Linked DNA regions of Saccharomyces cerevisiae S288C. The main gene of each other region encodes a partner of the protein of the gene in region 2 in a complex. Each region holds a gene or a part of one and is shown on either strand. Other genes may lie near its edges. A codon is read from its position in the direction of its gene.

Region 1 (4,848 bases), on a different chromosome or scaffold from region 2:
AATCTACGGGCCGCATGCACGTTATGCAAATCATCGTTTATCACAGCTAATATCTACTTTTTGATGCGCTTCATCCGTTCACTGACGCACCAAACCTTCCTTCTATGCAATGACAAGAATTTCTCAGCTTGATTTATGCCATTGATGTTTCTGAATCATCAATTGTTCACATAGGGCTATTCAATTTGGCCCGCTGTCCCTAAACTGAAAAAATACTAAGAAAAATTTTGCAAAAAATCTAAAATGATGAGGTGAAAGATCAAAAAAGAAAGATCAATAATTAAGAGGTTGGCAAGTCATCCTGATCGTGAAAAAAACTTAACAAGTACAAATAGAGTAATCAGCATTGGAAAATGTCTCGCGTTGGTGTCATGGTATTAGGACCTGCAGGTGCGGGGAAAAGCACATTTTGTAATTCCATTATATCACATATGCAAACTGTAGGACGAAGAGCTCATATTGTAAATTTAGACCCTGCCGCAGAAGCTACCAAGTATGAATTTACTATTGACATTAGAGATTTAATTTCCTTAGATGATGTCATGGAAGAAATGGATTTGGGCCCCAATGGTGCGCTAATATATTGCTTCGAATATCTTTTGAAAAATCTAGACTGGCTTGACGAAGAGATCGGGGATTTCAACGATGAATATTTAATCTTTGACTGTCCCGGTCAAATTGAACTCTACACGCATATCCCTGTCTTACCGAACATAGTGCGCCATTTAACTCAACAACTGAATTTCAACCTTTGCGCCACATATCTTTTGGAAGCGCCATTTGTGATAGATAGCTCAAAATTTTTTAGCGGTGCACTATCTGCTATGTCTGCGATGATTCTATTGGAACTACCCCATATCAATGTGTTGAGCAAACTAGACTTGATAAAAGGCGACATCAATAAGAAAAAACTGAAAAGATTTTTGAATCCCGATGCAATGTTATTAATGGAAACGGAAGGAATGAATCAAGCATCCAACCCTAAATTTCTAAGACTGAACCAGTGCATAGCCAACCTCGTCGATGATTTCGGTATGGTTCAATTTTTACCTTTGGAATCTAATAATCCTGACAGTATAGAAACCATATTATCGTATGTCGATGATATAACACAATGGGCAGAAGGACAAGAACAGAAAGAGCCTAACGACCAAATAGATGTCGAAGAATAGTTATAGAGAAAATTATGTACGCTTGATTCATATAAAAAGAGGTAAAAAAAAAAAATAGCTTCTCATAATAACCAATTCGGACTCGGGAAAGTACAAGTTCAAGTTTTTTATTGGTTTCTATATGTATAAGATAAAAATACCTAGATCTATTTAATTCTCTGTCTTGGGCCACCTGGTGATTTCTTATTCCTGGCTGTTAGGATTTCAACACCATGTTCGGTAACCAACAGTGTATGTTCAAATTGAGCACTCAGTTTACCGTCTTGGGTGGTAGAAGTCCAGTCATCAGGCCAGGTCATATCCTTCCAAGTACCTTCATTAATCATAGGTTCGATGGTGAAAACCATACCTGGTTTCATAACACCAGGTGTTCTATTCTTGGCGTAGTGGGGAATATTTGGGGAACAATGGAAAAATTCACCAACACCATGTCCACAATAAGTTCTTACTACACTGCACTTATTTTCGGTAGCGTGTTTTTCAATATGATCACCTAACTCTTGGAAGGTGGTACCTGGCTTACACATTTTAATGGCTAGTTTCAAACATTCTCTTGAGGTCTCAGTAGTATTAAGAGCTTCCTTAGAAATGTTTTCGCCGACATAATATGTCTCATTCAAGTCTGCATGATAACCTTGGTAGTATAAGGAAACATCTAAATTGACAATATCACCTTCCTTCAAGACAGTTTTATCGGGCACACCGTGACAAATAACTTCATTGACAGAGGTACAAAGCGATTTAGGAAAGTTGTAATAATTAAGAGGGGAAGGGTAGGCACCTCTCTTAATTGTTTCATTGTGGACGATTTCATCTAATTCATCTGTAGTGATGCCTGGTCTGACATGGGCAGCGGCAATATCAAGAACTTCTCTACCCAACATACATGCCTTTCTAATCTTCTTAATTTGATCTTTCTTGTATATAGGGATGTTGTTAAGTCTATCATTTCTTTGTTCACTGACTGGTAGCCCATTAGCGGCCCAGTCCGGTTTAGGAATATCTTCAGGGACATACCTTCTTGGGGTAAGTGGATATGAAGCCTTCACTTTACCAGAATATTTGAATTTTGGGAAAGGATCATAAGCACCTTCCAAGCCGTCCTTAGCATTGTGCAAAGCTTTGTGAGCTTTGTAGTTGTTTTCATAACAGCTTGTGTCGCAGAAAATGGAAACGATGCCTTGTTTTAGACAAACAGGGCATTTCATTTGGGACGAAGTTTCTCTACCACATTGCAAACCGGAGCAATATATCTTGGTAGGATGAGAAGCCTGATCGGAGGTAGTAACTGTTGTAGTTGCAGTGCTCATTATACAATTTTTTTGCTTATTTTTTTCTTGCTAGGAATATACACAATAGCGTTCTTGGGATGAATAATAATAATATCAGTTTTTCTTCTTTATATGAAAAATGAAAAAAAAAAAAAATAAGTAAAAAATTTTCGCTTTCTTTTCGGGGAGCAGCCAAATAAAGATTGCTGCTAGTTTAAATGAGATGGACCAAAAGCCATGGGCAGCAGTTCTCCCATTGTCATGACTTTAGAACGAGAACCTGTGGAATTAAGCATGACTATTGGAAAGTCCTTGACCACAAATTCATTGATAAACTGCCTGCAAACGCCGCAAGGGGAAACACACTGGTCCTCAGAATCGCCACAAATGACCATGCATTTCCATCCTGAGCGATGGCCTGCCATTAGAACTTGTATCATAGCAGATCGTTCTGCACATATACAATTACTGTAGCTTGCATTCTCGACATTAGCACCAGTGAAGATAACATCGTTATTTGTTAATATGGAACAACCGACACGGAAGTGAGAATAGGGGCTATAGGAGAGTTCACACGCCTTCAGTGCCGCCCTTTTTAAGGCTTCCAGTTGTCTGTCTTCTATGCCACCTACTTTCATTACCTTATTTCTCTGCTTGAGATTCTCTGTTTGGTTTTCCTAGTTTCTTGTACATAAACAGTTTGTGTTTATTTTGTCAAACTACTCGGAAATTGGCGAGCAGCGCCTTATCAAGATTACAGTTTGCAAATATAAAAATGTAAAGGAAAGAAAGCGTAAGGTAACAAGAAGAGAAACGGGGAAGATAATGGCCTTGGTCTCTAGAAGGTCGACAAGATCGGAAAGCACCTCAATAACAAAGGAAGAGCATACAGGAGAAGGTTCATTGACGAAGTTGTTCTTCCGATGGCTTGTTACCTTGGAGGGTGATCAGGATATAAACGATGGAAAAGGTTATATATCGTTACCGAATGTCTCGAATTATATATTCTTCCTTGGTGGCAGGTTCAGGACAGTAAAGGGCGCCAAACCGTTGTGGTTAGGTGTTCTCCTTGCTATTGTATGTCCCATGGTTCTCTTCTCCATATTTGAGGCTCACAAATTGTGGCATACCCAAAATGGTTATAAAGTGCTGGTCATTTTCTTCTATTATTTTTGGGTCATAACGCTAGCATCCTTTATCAGAACAGCCACTAGTGATCCTGGCGTTCTTCCGAGAAATATTCATTTAAGTCAACTAAGAAATAATTATCAGATCCCGCAAGAATATTACAACTTGATAACACTACCAACACATTCTTCAATTTCAAAAGACATTACTATCAAGTATTGTCCATCATGTAGGATATGGAGACCACCTCGGTCTTCTCACTGTTCCACATGTAACGTCTGCGTAATGGTTCATGACCACCATTGCATATGGGTCAATAATTGCATAGGAAAAAGGAACTACCGGTTCTTTTTAATATTCCTGTTAGGTGCAATACTTTCGTCCGTCATATTATTAACTAATTGTGCCATCCATATTGCACGGGAATCAGGGGGGCCTCGCGATTGTCCCGTTGCAATATTGTTACTTTGCTATGCAGGGCTAACCTTATGGTATCCGGCAATACTGTTTACTTATCACATATTTATGGCAGGTAATCAGCAAACAACAAGGGAATTTTTGAAAGGTATTGGATCGAAAAAAAACCCTGTATTCCATCGTGTGGTCAAGGAGGAAAACATATATAATAAGGGGTCCTTTTTGAAAAATATGGGTCACTTGATGTTAGAACCAAGGGGCCCAAGCTTTGTAAGTGCCAGAAAGCCACATGAAGCTGGAGATTGGAGATTTATGGATTTATCGCCAGCACACAGCTTTGAAAAAATACAGAAAATATAAGGAAGTATAGATATAAAGAACTCAGCGACACAGTAGTACGTAAAATATAAAAAGGTTACTGAAAGGAGTGAATTCCGCCATAGTATAGGTTGAGTATACGCAAATAAACGTTGGAAATTGGCTAGAATGTTAAAAAAAACATTCATTAAAAGGTTCTTTTCGTATAACTTTTACAACAAATAAGTGGTTGTTTGGCCGAGCGGTCTAAGGCGCCTGATTCAAGAAAATATCTTGACTGCAGTTAACTGTAGGAATACTCAGGTATCGTAAGATGCAAGAGTTCGAATCTCTTAGCAACCATTATTTTTGCCTTCCGAAAATTTTGAAGCTACATATTAGCACTCTTCTTCAGATGTCAGACAACGTGCAGCATCTTTTTTTCCTACCATTGAATATATATATAGTAATTACGGCAACCGTTTATATAAAAATTCAAAAGATTAAATATTTTAATATATTAGTGTCTGGTTTAAAAGTCATACTTCTCTAATCACTACCGT
Region 2 (5,718 bases):
TTTTCTTCACTTTGCAGAGGGGAGTGGTGCATATCCCACAAAGAAAAGTAGCAACAACAATGATATATATACGTTACTACTAATGCTTTCCTTCATCGAAAGTGTGCCGAAGTATTTATTTAATCTTTTAGTGTTCAACTTACTATAATGTGATACTTTTTCAATATTGTTTGCCGTTGAAGCGATAGTGCTTTATGTCATTTTATCTTTCTTTTACATTGTTTTATTTTAGAGCTAAAATTGAACATCAGTTTGCAAGAAGTCAGTTGGTTGGCCTTTGCTATTAAGAGACCATAATGTTATAGTGATTGAGATCAGTTTCACCAACTAATAACAATTAACCCGGGCGGTTAGTGTAGTGGTTATCATCCCACCCTTCCAAGGTGGGGACACGGGTTCGATTCTCGTACCGCTCATATTTTTACTTTCTTATCAAACTTTTTTTCCTCCGGGACGTGAAATAACCGCCGAGGTTATTCTCGGAGCATTCTTTTTTGTGGCTTTTGATCATCCATCATCATCATCATCATCATTATTACTACTACTACTACTACTACTATTATTATTATTATTATTATTATTATTAGTATTATTATTATTATATTGATTAGTTATTAGATAGATACAATTAAGAAAAATTTATGTAAAAGGTCAGAATAAACAGCATTTTTCTCCTCTTTTTTTATTTTTAAAAAAAGAAAAAGAAACTTCTAGTAAAGTGCAGCACATTCAAGTGTGATTAGTTGAAAATGGAAGCAATTTTACGGTTCAATTTCTTCAAGAAACCGCCTTCCTTCTTGGTTTCCTTCTTCTCACTGACGGCGGCGGAAGCTTGCTTCTTAGTTTCTTCAACTTTGTTGGCAGCTTCGGTCTTCTTTTGTTCGACACCATCAGCAATGTTTTGTTCTTCCTTCTTCACCTGTTCAGCTTCTGGAGTAGCTTCATTTTTTAGGTTGTCGATAGAAGCTTCAGCTTGTTCCTTTACTTCTTGGCCCTTGTTTTGCAAAGATTCTTTGGTTTCTTCCAACTTTTGTTGGACATCTTGGGCGGCAGTTTCAGCTTTGTTTTGAATTTCAGACATTATTAATTGATATAAACGTAGTTTTGTATGTTTCTTTGATTTGAACTTTTAAGTATACAGAGAAAAAAACCGATCAAAGAAAACTAAAGTATAATGAGGTTAAAAACGAAAGTAATAAAGTAGAAAGGCTATCAAGCAAACTGAGATGATCTTCGACGTAAAAACTCGCTCTATATATATACGCCATATAAGCCCATCGGCGATGGGGGACAACACGAAGAAACAAGAGAAGAGGAGAACCGCACAGAAAGCAGCAGAAACAGAGCAAACCAGCATTAACTAAAGATGATAAAAATAAAATTAGGTAAGAAACCTTAATTGGATATACAAAAATACACTGGAGGCACAAATCGCCATCGATATAAAACACGATAAAGCCCTGGTGCACCCATAAACCACACGTTTAACTATTTGGGTCGGGGCACGACGAAATCTAGGGATAGGCACCCGGACCGTCGGGGCAATACTAGGCGCACACCGCGCTCGTGAAGCAGACCTCCCGGCGAGTTTAGCTGCGCCACGTACTGCTCTAACGCGAGAGACTCCTGAAACACAGGTCTAGAAAGAAGGGGCCCCAAAACCCAGCTCCACAGACCGCCCGTAAGCATATCGAGCAACAGGCCACTTAAGTTACGCCACCCGAACACCTCACCTTCTTCACGCAGCAAGAATCCGTTTACCCGGTGCACAACCTCCGCGAGCTCTGCCGCACTAAGATATTCTGACAGAGGCGAGACGGAGGAGCAGCCAAACACGTGATCCCCAATGTCGTAACGCCCGCACCGCACAAAGCTAGTGCCATCGTCGCCCACGATTGCCGCCGGCTCGCTACCGGGAAGCTGTGTACTAAATTGTGGCGTTTCAAGGCTGCTGCGAGACTCATCGAACCGCCGGGGCACTCGTACCACCCGGGTCACCTGGAACTCGGCAGAGCCCCGAGCAGCATACACATTCGGGAAATGTGTAATACACAATTTGTGGTCTTCGTCGTGCTCTGTGGGTTTAGCGTCTTCGGAACCGAGGTCTTCGTAGAATGAATACGAAAACTCATGGTAATTAAAAAATAACGCCCTTTCGCTCGTATTTGCGTTATCTTCTTCCTTTTGATGGCTATCGCACATCTAGTAAGGGTTAGATTGAGTATTGTCCTCTAATGTAACTTTTTCCTCTTATTCCTCTCCTCCCCTTAGCTATTATATATCTTTTTTACCGAATCTTGAATTAGGAATAGTTTTAAAATCAGGCCGGAGGCCGAGCTTGCGACAACTACGACCAAAAAAAACAAAGGAAAAACGAAAAGAAGAAAACATGCACAGGAGAACATAGTTGGAGAAAAGGGTTAGAACAGACCGATACAGAGATAAACTAGCGAAGAATAATAACTTTATACAAAATTAATCATGAGCACATCCGCCAGCGGTCCAGAACACGAGTTCGTTAGTAAATTCTTGACCTTAGCCACTTTAACTGAACCGAAGCTACCAAAAAGCTATACTAAACCTCTGAAGGATGTTACCAATTTGGGTGTCCCGTTGCCTACTTTGAAGTATAAATATAAGCAGAATCGTGCCAAGAAGTTAAAACTGCACCAAGATCAGCAAGGTCAAGACAACGCCGCCGTCCACTTAACCTTAAAGAAAATTCAAGCTCCCAAGTTCTCCATCGAGCATGATTTCAGCCCATCAGATACTATCTTACAAATAAAACAGCACTTGATCAGCGAGGAAAAGGCCTCCCACATAAGCGAGATAAAACTGCTTTTGAAGGGCAAAGTCCTCCACGATAACCTGTTCTTATCGGATTTGAAGGTCACGCCTGCCAATTCCACAATCACAGTCATGATTAAGCCGAATCCGACTATATCTAAGGAACCCGAAGCCGAGAAATCCACTAACTCCCCTGCTCCTGCTCCTCCACAGGAACTCACTGTGCCCTGGGATGATATCGAGGCTCTTCTGAAGAACAATTTCGAGAACGATCAGGCTGCGGTTAGGCAAGTCATGGAGCGTCTACAAAAAGGCTGGTCTCTGGCCAAATAAGATTAGTATAGTTAGTACGTACATACTTGTTATTTTACACAGTTGCGCTTTTTATCACGGTTGCGCTTACTATTTTCTTCTTTCCTTTGGGCGGCTACTCGCCCTTTGTCTATTTCTCGCCATCGCCACATACTCTCTACCGCGATCAATCTTTTCCTGGGTAATACCATTCAACGCAACCTTCTTCTTCATCAGGACTTTCTCAAAGATATCATTCGGATTGAGCAATCTTTTTGGGAAATTTTGAATCACTTGCAAAATCTCCATATCTGCCTCTTCCTGCGTCTTAATCTTGTTCTTTAATCTTTTGAAAGTTGAATCAGAGTCATTACTACCACCGAAGGTGTACGAAGAGTACTGTCTAAACAGTTTCTGGCTTTTACTCTCCAAAAACTCGCTTTCGCTCAATTTCAGTATCCCCAAAGCCACTTTAAATAAAAAATGAGACTCTTCATAGAATAAACAGTCCCATATTCTCAGGGTCGTTTCGATGGGCACCACGCCCACAAAACAGCTCATAAACCAACTTGCCGTACACAGCGTCAGCGTAGGCAGCCTGCAGAGATATTCTTCCCCCGATGCTGGCCCTGATATCTGGTCAGTGCTGCCATTGCCATTCATATACGATGACTCAATGTGTGACCATATCTCGGGTAAATATTCCTTGATACATAACACCAACACCCCTTGATCCACGTTCGCACCCTCTAAGTCTGATTCATACACGCCAGGTAAATACTTACCGGTAATAATAACCAGCATCCAAAATGCTTTCTCTTCTTCCATGAACAATAATAGCAATCCAACGAGAAAATTCATCGATTGGCAGTATCCAATAGTCTTGTCATAAACAGAAAAGGCCATTAATACTCGACGCAATGATCGGATGATCGCCGGCTCTCCATTTTGGAAGGACTCCTTATGGAAATGTATATTATCGGGAAACGTTCGATAAAGATCCCGTTCTATAGCTTCCATATCTTTACCAGATACGGCACCCTCGCGACAGTCACTTTTCAGTCTATCATAAACGCCAACATTTGCGTCTAATTGTCGTTGTCCACCAGCAAAATACCACCAGGCATTCCCTCTCCATTCTGCTGGTATACCTTTTCTAACAAATTTTGACAATTCATCTGTCCTTGCAGGATATACTAGAGGATTATCATTGTGGAGCTCAATCTTATTCTTAAGAAGAAAGTTCTCCCACTTTTTTTTTCTTCTTTCGGTGTATCTATTATATTCTGTCCACCATTTGTCGTATTCTTCCTGACTAATGAAATATCCTTTCTTGCTAAATCCATATCTATCAAAATTCTCAGGATCTGCCATGATTAAGCTGGTAAACGCCTTTGCTTTTTCAAGCTCACGTGTTGTCAATATTTCTTTTCGTTCTACTGTAGAACTATCATCCCCTTCATCGTCGTCATCGTATAAATCAAGAACGCTATAATTGGCATCGTCTTCGTTGAATGACGAAACTGTGTCAAAAACACTTTCGTTCGGTACCAAGGCGGCTTCTGTCGACATAGTTGATGACATTATCATCCTGTCATGCCGGGTTTTGCCTTCTGTGATTGTAAAAGTGTGCGAGTCTTCCTCGATTTTGAATTACTTCGGTGCCAAATGTACAAAATACTATCCTAACTTTTCAAAAATAGTTTATTCTTATAAAATCATCCGTAAAATGATTAACTGTCCCCGCTAAAAGCGTTTGTAAGCTCAGTTCATAGATATGTCTTCCATCCGTAAATCCGCCTAACGAATAGCAACACATTCTTTTTCCTTTTACATTTTCTATTGACATAACGCGAAGCAAACGTATCATTGTTGTTTTTTTTCTATAAATAATCAAAAAGAGTAATTGTTTTAGATGAAATAAAAATGCGATTAAAATATGAATCATACATACGTATATACATATATATATATATTGTTTCTCCTAAATAAAAAAAAGCTAAATTTCAATGCCACTTTAAGGATACTTTGAGCTGCTCAGGGCTGCATGCCATTGACAAAAATTCAAACGTTAGTAGTTTTCTCACGGATGCTCTTGATTCGACATTCACTTGCAAACAGGCATCTAAGAATTGTTTGGTTTGCTTGGACACTGACTCTGGATGACGCAATTTTGGTGAACCGTTGTTAGCTATCAGATACAGCGCCTTCAAAGGATCCTCATTTAGGTAAGGCGGTTCACCTTCTATCATCTCAATAAGCATTATCCCTAGAGACCAAACGTCGACTTTTTCATCATATCCCTTTTGATTCACTATTTCAGGTGCCATCCAATATGGAGTACCTACCATTGTGGCACGCTTGCTTCTTTTTTCTGTTAATTCCACACAAAAACCGAAGTCTGTAATTTTCACTAACCCTTGGGAATTCAGAAGGATATTATCAGATTTGATATCTCGATGGATAATTTTCTTGTTATGCAAAAACTTCAAACCTTGGCACGTCTCTTTTACTATATATGCCATTTGGTTTTCGTTTAACGGCGATGAGTGCTCACCGGTATTGCTCCTTGCTACAGCATCCAATATATCTGTTAAGCAGCCACCTTCCATGTACTCCATTATCACCCATAACTCTTCG

What was found. Proteins that work in one complex are often made in the same cells at the same time.
Region 1: the proteins of SHR5 (region 2) and ERF2 are in contact, whole or in part, in a cryo-EM structure (PDB 8HFC), measured with the Saccharomyces cerevisiae proteins. Residues at the interface, in NP_014531.1 of Saccharomyces cerevisiae: Arg17 (codon at 2,154), Ala18 (codon at 2,151), Leu19 (codon at 2,148), Phe20 (codon at 2,145), Phe21 (codon at 2,142), Tyr23 (codon at 2,136), His24 (codon at 2,133), Phe26 (codon at 2,127), Ser27 (codon at 2,124), Tyr28 (codon at 2,121), Phe55 (codon at 2,040), Pro56 (codon at 2,037), Val58 (codon at 2,031), Tyr59 (codon at 2,028), Ala60 (codon at 2,025), Ala61 (codon at 2,022), Arg62 (codon at 2,019), Phe67 (codon at 2,004), Arg74 (codon at 1,983), Arg77 (codon at 1,974), Phe79 (codon at 1,968), Asp80 (codon at 1,965), Glu81 (codon at 1,962), Ser82 (codon at 1,959), Arg83 (codon at 1,956), Leu86 (codon at 1,947), Glu87 (codon at 1,944), Tyr117 (codon at 1,854), Asp118 (codon at 1,851), Ile119 (codon at 1,848); in NP_013347.1 of Saccharomyces cerevisiae: Tyr115 (codon at 3,611), Ile119 (codon at 3,623), Ala122 (codon at 3,632), Ser123 (codon at 3,635), Ile125 (codon at 3,641), Arg126 (codon at 3,644), Thr129 (codon at 3,653), Leu135 (codon at 3,671), Pro136 (codon at 3,674), Asn138 (codon at 3,680), Ile139 (codon at 3,683), His140 (codon at 3,686), Leu141 (codon at 3,689), Ser142 (codon at 3,692), Gln143 (codon at 3,695), Leu144 (codon at 3,698), Arg145 (codon at 3,701), Tyr148 (codon at 3,710), Gln149 (codon at 3,713), Pro151 (codon at 3,719), Gln152 (codon at 3,722), Glu153 (codon at 3,725), Tyr154 (codon at 3,728), Ile158 (codon at 3,740), Thr159 (codon at 3,743), Leu160 (codon at 3,746), Pro161 (codon at 3,749), Thr162 (codon at 3,752), His163 (codon at 3,755), Ser164 (codon at 3,758).

Annotation. Positions count from the first base shown.
Region 1 is NC_001144.5:623,850-628,697, forward strand, and holds ERF2 (palmitoyltransferase ERF2), read left to right. Parts: upstream 1-3,268; coding exon 3,269-4,348; downstream 4,349-4,848. Other genes in the region: sterol homeostasis protein ARV1, read right to left, coding at 1-34; putative signal sequence-binding GTPase GPN3, read left to right, coding at 354-1,172; methionine aminopeptidase MAP1, read right to left, coding at 1,319-2,482; CDD1 (cytidine deaminase), read right to left, coding at 2,653-3,081; E3 ubiquitin-protein ligase IRC20, read right to left, coding at 4,835-4,848. UniProt on the Saccharomyces cerevisiae protein: The ERF2-SHR5 complex is a palmitoyltransferase specific for Ras proteins. Palmitoylates RAS2, which is required for its proper plasma membrane localization.
Region 2 is NC_001147.6:105,660-111,377, reverse strand, and holds SHR5 (Shr5p), read right to left. Parts: upstream 2,203-5,718; coding exon 1,489-2,202; downstream 1-1,488. Other genes in the region: ZEO1 (Zeo1p), read right to left, coding at 740-1,081; MDY2 (Mdy2p), read left to right, coding at 2,482-3,120; Rab GTPase-activating protein MSB4, read right to left, coding at 3,190-4,668; putative serine/threonine protein kinase SKM1, read right to left, coding at 5,085-5,718. UniProt on the Saccharomyces cerevisiae protein: The ERF2-SHR5 complex is a palmitoyltransferase specific for Ras proteins. Palmitoylates RAS2, which is required for its proper plasma membrane localization.